2 linked regions of the Saccharomyces cerevisiae S288C genome follow. Each later gene encodes a partner of the first gene's protein in a complex. Each region holds a gene or a part of one and is shown on either strand. Other genes may lie near its edges. The genes, in order: CHS6 and BUD7.

Region 1 (4,985 bases):
ACTTTCAAGAAGCCAACCAAAGCATGAGTAACGAAGCTTACCAGCATGATCATACCGTAAATCCTCACCAGAAGATAGTTGTGAACAGCTACGATTGGTTACAGTTCCGTGATGAGCAAGATCACTGTAAAAGTAAGAACCCGATAACGCACGCTTCTCCAGGGGTCGGTTCGAATGCACAGAATTCAGACATAGCGGAGGCCCCTCAGGTATTCCACCCTTCCTATCAATCTCTGGTCAACGTACCGTCCGAGAGCCCGCGACCTGATCAGACTTCAGGGTCCAATCCTGCCGTTGGACTGCTTCATAATGCAGAGGACAAAGCGTCAGGGCAAGAAGAAGAAGGAAGTCAATATGAGATTCAATATTCGGTATTTCGTCCGCTGCATGCATATCCAACCAAGGGCCTAGCATATGAGCAGCTCCGAAGAAAAGAAGAACAAGAACAGAGGGAAAACTTCAACCATTTGGTTTCTGACTGTATTGAGGCTGTAGAGACATTTGGACGCGAACTCGAGAGAATCCAAACTGGCTCAAGTGGGTCGTACTTTGTGTATGGAACACGGGCCGACGAAAGCGTTCCGGTGGGGGTCTTCAAGCCCAAGGATGAGGAACCATATGGCCCATTTTCTCCCAAATGGACCAAATGGGCACACCGCACGTTTTTCCCATGTCTGTTTGGCAGAAGTTGTCTGATTCCAAACCTCGGGTACATCTGTGAAAGTGCGGCTAGTTTGTTGGATAGGCGACTGGAAACGCATCTAGTACCCTATACAGATACTGCATCTATAGAGTCTTTTAATTTTTATGATAATAGAAAAAAATGGGTATTGGGATACAACCTTCAGAAGAAGAAACAAAAAAAGCTGGGTTCTTTCCAACTTTTTTTGAAGGAGTACATCAACGCCGATGAGTTCTTTCATAAATACCCATTACCTGGGATGTATTCAGATGTTAAACATTCATTTCATCGTAAGTCATCCGGCGAAGATATCAATCATAAACCAGAGACAACCAGGAACCTAACAGATGAGACAGAACCGTCCAAGCAAATAAATTCCTCTCCAATTTCGACGGAATCTGAAGAAAATTCGAAATTTGAATGGACAGAATCAAGTTTGAGTCAGTTCAGATTGGAACTAGAAAAACTAATTATCCTTGATTATATAATGAGAAACACAGATAGAGGTCTAGACAATTGGATGGTGAAACTAATCAAACTTTCAAACAATAAGTGGAGACTCAAGTTAGCCGCCATCGACAATGGGTTGTCCTTTCCCTGGAAGCATCCTGATGAGTGGCGTCTGTACCCATATGGCTGGTTGTATTTGCCTCTGCAACTACTAGCCAAACCATTTTCTGAGCAAATGAGATCTCATTTCCTACCGATATTGACAAGCACTAATTGGTGGGAAGAGTCGTACCAAGAATTCTTGGCCCTATTTAGCAGGGACCAAGATTTTAACGTCCGAATGTGGAAGAAGCAATGGGCAGTATTAAAAGGACAGGCGTTCAACGTTGTCGAAACATTGAAAGACCCACGACAAGGCCCCTTGGAATTGGTTAGAAGGACAAGGTGCCAGGTAATAGATGAGAAGATGCAAGTTCCCTGTTGCCCACCTCCAGTTTCTATTTTCAAAAACGCCATAGACGAACCTATTGGATCATATTCCACTTCACCAATGGTACTCCCTAGCACCCCAAGCACAATTCCATTTCATGCACATAACCAAAGCAATAGTAATCCTGTATACTATGATTCCACTCTGCACCCATTTGCTAATAAAACAGTGATAGCAGAGCGGCTACAAATAGTCAATTCCACCCCCGTATTCACCTGGTGTTGATTTTTTGGAAAATAATTCAATACATACTCAATATAAAGAAATCATAACTCTACTTTAGCATATAGGAAATAGACTCTTTCGAAAAAACCTCTTTCTGTAGTGTTAGAAAGCAACCGGCTATTATTTTTGTGTGTCTTCGAAAAATCGGAACCCAAACAGATCTTAGCGGATTCATGGTAAAAATAGCCTTGAAGAATTTAGGAAAATAAATAGATACTCAAAAAGGAATAGAGGATCTTAACAAATCATTACATTACTTAACTCACATTAAAAGCAAACACCTTTCTTAAGCTGTTGGTGCAAAAAAGGATTACATCTATTGCCCTTATGAATTTGTTTTGGCCATCGGAAACCAAAAAGCAAAATGAAATACCTGGTGGCGATTATACACCTGGGAACTCACCTTCAGTACAAAAGGGTTATCAATTCCTCAATCGAGACATATTTAAAAGTTGTCCACGAATTATGGAAAGGCAGTTTGGTGAGTGTCTGCACAATAGAACGCATTTAATCAAGGATTTAATTTCTTCTGGCAATGTTGGACTAGGTCCCATTGAGATTGTTCACATGTCCTACTTAAACAAACATGAAAAAGAAGAGTTTGGTGAATATTTCTACGTTACAGGGATCGAAGTTTCCGGTCCTGCAATGCCCGTAGAGTTTCTTGAAGTGCTAAAATCGAGTAAGCGGATTTCCAAAAATATATCGAATAATATCATATTGACTTATTGCTGTTTTAATTTTTTCAGCAATCTAGACATCCGTATTAGATACGATGCTGACGATACTTTCCAGACAACGGCAATTGACTGTAACAAGGAAACCACTGACCTGACCATGACAGAAAAAATGTGGGAAGAAACGTTCGCAAGTTCTGTCATCCGAGCGATAATAACAAATACTAATCCAGAGTTAAAACCTCCCGGTTTAGTAGAGTGTCCATTCTACGTTGGAAAAGATACTATCTCCTCTTGCAAAAAGATCATAGAATTACTCTGCCGATTCTTACCACGGTCACTGAATTGCGGGTGGGATTCTACCAAGAGTATGCAAGCCACCATTGTCAATAACTATTTAATGTATAGTTTAAAAAGTTTTATTGCAATCACGCCAAGCCTAGTGGATTTTACAATCGACTACCTGAAAGGACTTACCAAGAAAGATCCAATCCATGACATATACTACAAGACGGCTATGATCACAATTCTAGATCACATAGAAACAAAGGAGTTAGACATGATAACTATTTTAAATGAGACGCTCGACCCCCTTTTATCTCTGCTAAATGATTTACCGCCTCGCGATGCTGATTCAGCACGATTAATGAATTGCATGAGTGACTTGCTGAACATTCAAACAAATTTTTTGTTAAACAGGGGTGATTACGAACTAGCATTAGGCGTCTCTAACACATCAACCGAACTAGCCTTAGACTCTTTTGAATCTTGGTACAACCTAGCGAGATGCCACATCAAAAAAGAGGAGTATGAAAAGGCTCTCTTCGCAATAAATTCAATGCCTCGTTTGCGCAAAAATGATGGACACCTGGAAACAATGTACAGTAGGTTTCTTACCTCCAATTATTATAAAAAGCCATTGAATGGTACCCGCGAACACTACGACTTGACTGCAATGGAATTCACGAATCTCTCGGGAACGTTGAGGAATTGGAAAGAGGATGAGTTAAAACGGCAAATTTTTGGAAGAATCGCAATGATAAACGAAAAAAAAATCGGTTATACAAAGGAAATCTGGGATGATATTGCGATAAAGTTGGGTCCGATTTGTGGTCCACAATCTGTGAATCTGATTAATTATGTCTCCCCTCAAGAGGTCAAAAACATAAAAAATATCAATTTAATAGCAAGGAATACGATCGGCAAACAATTGGGATGGTTTAGTGGTAAAATATATGGGTTATTAATGGAAATTGTGAACAAAATTGGTTGGAATGGCTTATTAAACATCCGAACAGAAGCTTTCATGATGGAAACTGAATTCTATCAAGCTTCTAACAACATTATCGATGAAAACGGTCATATACCGATGGAATCCCGAAAGAAAAGGTTTTGTGAAGGGTGGCTAGATGATTTATTTTTAGATTTATATCAAGACTTGAAATTGAGCAAGATTAGCCTAAGCAATAAAGATGAAAAACACAGCGGATTAGAGTGGGAACTTTTGGGTTTGATCATGCTGCGTACCTGGCATTGGGAAGATGCCGTAGCTTGTCTAAGAACAAGCATAGTAGCTCGATTCGACCCCGTAAGTTGCCAGCAGCTGCTAAAAATATACCTGCAACCTCCAAAAAATATTCAAGAGGTTACATTACTAGACACAGATACCATAATAAGTTTATTAATTAAGAAAATATCATATGATTGCAGGTATTATAATTATTGCCAGATATTTAATCTGCAACTGCTAGAAAAGCTATGCAACGAATTGGGGACGCATATACTGCGTAATAAGATCCTTCTTCAACCTTCCATAGGAGACGAAATCATGGTCATGATCGATGCCATGCTTGCGTGGATAGCCGACCTAGATCACACAGTACAACCTTGAACAAAACGGTGCTCTTAGTATTATTATATAACCACTACGGTTGGATGGACTGAGGGTAAGGGTAACCGTATACCTTTTATTTTTTTTTTTACATTTTGAACTGGGAAGAAAATTTTTTTTGCGAGGGATTGACGGCTAACGCCAAAACACTCCGAAGAGAATGAGAAAAGCTTGGGCATCGCTCGAAGTCATCGAACGGGACTATTTTTGTTTAAAATTTCACCAGATCTGCTTGATAAGGGTAGTTTAGCTTGTGTATTTGGGAAAGGTACGCAAAAGATATATTTTACTAAGATCTTTAAATATTTTTAGCTTGAGGTAATACATGCTAATTTTAGTTGATTAGAGATTCTGAAAAATTCGTTTTAGTTAGTGTTTAAGAATAGTGGCGTTTATCGTTTTGCCCATTTAATAATTAGGAAAAAATATGTCAGGGTCCTTTTGGAAGTTTGGACAAGATTTTGGTTCACAGTCTCCATTAGCTAAACTGTTGAACAGGGCTTTCATTAAGATCGATGATAAGCCCACTAGTACGGAAGCAGGGAAAATTGACTCTAATAGCACAGATGA
Region 2 (4,687 bases), on another chromosome or scaffold:
TGTAGTTATCTGCGGTTTTCCGTCTTGTTGGGAGCGCCTTTTCATTATCTCGTCGACGATCAGCGCTACGTCTTCGTTTCTCAGGGCTTCTTGACCGATACCCGATTGGTGCTTCCAATCACCCAGCAATTCGTTTAATTTTGGTGAAAAGGGCACGTCTGGGCCGCTATTTTCTAAGAGTTTATCAGGTGCTTCCGGGTCTAGGTGCCCTTCTTCTATCAGTGCGTTCAGCAAGTCAAATGTAGCCGTAGATGTACTTCCATTCTGCTGTTGTTCTTGTGGAAAGTTGATTAATGATTTTCTTACCAACTCTATGTAGTTTTTGCAAAGTCGTGTATGTGTCATAAGGTCAACCCAAAAGTCCAGATAGTTGATGGCATATGGGAATTGTGAAAGAAATGTATAAAAAGTCCAGAGATCAACTGGCTGCGATGTCCTCTGTATTAACACTTCATACAATGTTGGCAATCGTTCACGCTGGATCATCTCGAAATTTTGCATACTGCTCACTTTGCTGAGCTCTTCCTTCATGATGAATGGGACGCTCTTGAACTTTCTTTTTGGCAGAAATTGTTAGAGGTCGTTGTGCACAATGAATTTCCCGTATGTGTTTTATTGATATTTTCGTTTTGCCCGCATTCTCGAAACACGAATATTTTTCCTCGAATGGCGGCGGGCGGCGAAGTTACATAACCAGCATTGCTCTGTATTAATGTATGCTGGGTTTTCTTTAAAGTGACCCAAGAGTTTGACACAACGTTGAAGCGTATCGCCAATTTTTTTTGGATTATATATACGTATTAATGTCTTTTTATCGTATTTATGCATCGTAGCATCCAATGGTGCAAGTAGTGAAGAAATTGAGCAAATTCTCCTGCACCAAGTTGAGAACAGTTTCTGGATATCTTGACGAGATTTCATTCGAAACTTTGGTCAGACTCATATCTTGAATAACCACACTTAAACAATCAAGTAAACTTATGGAAAATTCCGTATACCAACGGTGGTTCCAGCAGCATATCTTCACGCAAAGGTCGATAATGCTATTGTCTAGCTCTCTTATGCGTGAGCTTACTATTTCAGGGACCATGTCATGCGAATTAGGTGAGTTTATAAAATTTTTGACCCGTTGGCGTTCGTTTATACAATATTCCAGCAGTTTCCTCGCGCACCTTGATGAAAATCTCTGCGATAAACCGTTCTGGAAGGCCTTGGCGGCCTCAGGGAAATGGCCCAGTCGACGTGCACAAAGGCCAAATAACTCCCATTCGAAAGTCAACTTATTGTGGTTGTTATTCTGTGCATCCATGTACAGTTGTTCGGTTTGCCATAATGTATACATCTTCAGGTCTTCATATAAAAGCATGAAGAGGTTGTCTAACCATCGTTCACACAGCCGTTTAGCCCTCAGAGGCTGTTCTTCTTGTTTGTTAACGTCCTTTGGTAACGAAGATGATGATTTTTGGTACTCTTCTTCCATAACGAAAATGTTTGATCTGTACTTTAACAGATTTTCCCAGCCGGTGATCTGCACAATTTCTGTCAATAATCGGTATGCCAATTGGAAAGTAGATTTCAAGTTCGACGCAGCTAAATTGACCAGCATTGGATCCGCAGAGCGGTGTTCATTCTGAACGTCTTGTGGATTCAACGACGTCACTTCATCCAGTACAACGTCAATTGGCAATGGCAAATGAAGACTATTATTCGAAGGCAACGGAGCTACTCTTTTCAGTACGTATTTTTCCTTTAATGGAGACATAGGGCATGAATTCAGTATCAGTAAGGCATTTTCAATATCATTTAGCTTTACATACACCTTGGATAAAAGATACCAAGGTCTAAATTCACTGGGAGAACAATTGACTGCCTCTTGCGCTATGTTTTGCGCCAAGCTGTAATCCTGCCTTTTGTCTATCAAAAATTGCGCTTGTAAGCACAGTAATTCAGATTTATAATCCATGCGGTTATTAGTGTTGTTTATTATTTTATCCTGCGAAAGCATATCGTATGTGAGCTTTATTGCGTCTAATTCTTGATCACACACCAAAAAGATCTTGATTAGTATTATGATCGCCTCAGGGTTGTCGGTAGCCAGATTCTTCAACATTATTTCCGCCCTGCTAACATTACGAGTCAGCTTAACTATCTCAACGAGTGTTTCTACCAAATAGTTATTAGTGTTCGTCACATTGGTAATATAATACGGAGCTCCCAATAATGGGCCCTTATGGTAAACTATAGGGAACAGATCAATGAACATTTCTGGTACATCGTCGATTTGTCCTGCAGTAAACGGGTTCAAAATCAAGGTTTCCACTAAATTTTGTAATTCTCCCTCTTCAGCGTTTTCCTTCATTAACATGATTGACCGTACTACGCCACTTACGAACGTTTCAGCCCAAATTAAGTCATAATCCGCACACATCTCTATATTTTGACTTTCACCGTTGCAATCCACTATAAAGTTCTGAATCGATCCTGGAATATGAACGACGACATTTATGTCGCATCTCCTGAACGCATTCCAAGTGGAAAATGAAATTCGAGCAACATTGAAGGTTTTCTTCCTGCCAAACCAAACTTGGGGTTTCTCGCTGATGACCTCTGAAATCTCCTTCAAAAAAATTGCGATTGAAGTTGGACCGGATGTATCGACACCCATTGAGTAAAAAAATGTCCCTACTTCGTCCTTCAGTTTATCAAGTGGATGGAGCTCAGCGACCATCGGGGCTCCATCATTGGCATTTCTGCTGCTACTGTATATAGATGCATTTGTATAATTTGTGGTAACGGCGGTGTCACTAGCATCGCCATTGGTTGCCATGGAAGCGGCAGAGTCATCGGCTACAACGGCTGCAGGGGACTGAATAATGGCCGCACCATTTCTACTCGTACTGTTTATGGCATTTGTGTTACTTGAAGTGGGCAAATACTTTGTTAGTGTGACCAAGTCTGCCGGCCCTAAGTCTTGAAACTGCGGTAACCGAATTCTTCTCTCATGTAAAGCATAACCAATAAAATCTTCTTTTACCTCTGGTATAGAATTCTGCGTAATCATCTGAGGGAAGCTCTTCTTCCTTAGTTCTTTATTTTTTTGCGCTCACTCCCTTCTCAAACACTTCAACTTAATAACAGCACTATTTATGGAAAAAAAATCTTAAAATAATTAAAACGCCATTGCCTCGAGGCTAAGCTTACGCCCTCTTGCTATATTTGCATACGTTTTTCAGATCCTTCTTCTATTCCTGGCTCAGGTACCAGGTACCGAAAAAGGTGAAGAAAAAAGGACTTGGAATGTGTTCACGTGACGCTATCGACACCCGCATGACAGAATCTTAAGGCAATGCTCGCAACTTTCTTCCAAGATGCGTGAAAATGCTTATAAGTCTTACTAAGCTATCAAGACATACTGAATTTGGGTCACTACGTCTCATTTATCGAACACTGATGAAAAGATGGTAGGCCTGATACTTGGCCCAAATGTACGCCAGTCAACTTTGCATTGGAGGGTAATAGAAGCAAGGATTCTGTTACCCTGACTATGTTACCCTGATTGTATTACCCGACCAAGAGAACCACGTAGAACGTCATGGAACAATTCCTGGAAATAATCGATCACCATCGTTGCCTCTTTCATGAACGGGCGCCCCTTGACGGTGGTGGTATATATTAGGTAGCTGGAAAGGCGCCTGTCGCTTAACCAATAATAGTTTCATGTGTTAGGGAAGGTTGAATCTACGCTTCCATAACTGTAAAAGCTAATAAGCTAGAAAACAAAAAAGTTAACGAGCAAAATCGTAAAGAAAAATGTCTGACTGGGATACAAATACTATTATTGGTAGCAGAGCAAGAGCTGGTGGTTCTGGCCCAAGGGCCAACGTTGCCAGATCTCAAGGCCAAATTAATGCTGCAAGAAGACAGGGGTTGGTTGTTTCCGTTGACAAGAAGTACGGATCAACCAATACGAGGGGTGACAACGAGGGTCAGAGGTTGACCAAGGTCGACCGTGAGACAGATATTGTCAAACCCAAGAAATTGGATCCAAATGTCGGTAGGGCCATCTCGCGTGCCAGAACAGACAAGAAAATGTCGCAGAAGGATTTGGCAACCAAAATTAACGAAAAGCCAACCGTGGTAAACGATTATGAAGCCGCTAGAGCTATTCCAAACCAACAAGTTTTGTCTAAGTTGGAAAGAGCCTTAGGCGTTAAATTGAGAGGTAACAACATCGGTTCGCCTTTGGGAGCTCCAAAGAAGAAATGAAGAGGTCTTCTTTCATTTGTTCCTTTCTTTTCGCACTGCATGTCATCAATGAAGCATTCTTAATAATGTACATTATTCTATCATGATCGTTTTATGGTTTTTTTCGTTTATTTTATCATTTTTTTTTTTTTTTAGCTTTTTTTCCTCTATAGAAAGTGAAGTACACACGTATATATTATGATTCAGGATCTTTATTTGGTCTCAATTTTAATATTTTTTTGCAAGGACTCGATTAATCTATCTTTTTCTATCCACCTATTTTCAAGCCACTTTTCTAAACTCTCATCATTGTATGCGAGTAATGGTTGAATTTGATGCTTTTTTACATTTACCATCACAACAATGGGGTCCTTATCCTTTATGTTGTTTTCAGACTCCATTTCTGGTTGAATCATCTCAAAGATTGTCGGAGATATTTGCT

What was found.
Region 2: CHS6 (region 1) and BUD7 share a complex: the UniProt entries of both Saccharomyces cerevisiae proteins name them as parts of the CHS5/6 complex.

The regions. Positions count from the first base shown.
Region 1 is NC_001142.9:237,240-242,224, forward strand, and holds CHS6 (Chs6p), read left to right. Parts: upstream 1-2,174; coding exon 2,175-4,415; downstream 4,416-4,985. Other genes in the region: 1-phosphatidylinositol 4-kinase LSB6, read left to right, coding at 24-1,847; SAP185 (Sap185p), read left to right, coding at 4,843-4,985. UniProt on the Saccharomyces cerevisiae protein: Member of the CHS5-ARF1P-binding proteins (CHAPS) which mediates export of specific cargo proteins, including chitin synthase CHS3.
Region 2 is NC_001147.6:876,809-881,495, reverse strand, and holds BUD7 (exomer complex subunit), read right to left. Parts: upstream 3,062-4,687; coding exon 821-3,061; downstream 1-820. Other genes in the region: RAX1 (Rax1p), read right to left, coding at 1-531; MBF1 (multiprotein-bridging factor 1), read left to right, coding at 3,811-4,266; MUM3 (Mum3p), read right to left, coding at 4,458-4,687. UniProt on the Saccharomyces cerevisiae protein: Member of the CHS5-ARF1P-binding proteins (CHAPS) which mediates export of specific cargo proteins, including chitin synthase CHS3. May be involved in positioning the proximal bud pole signal.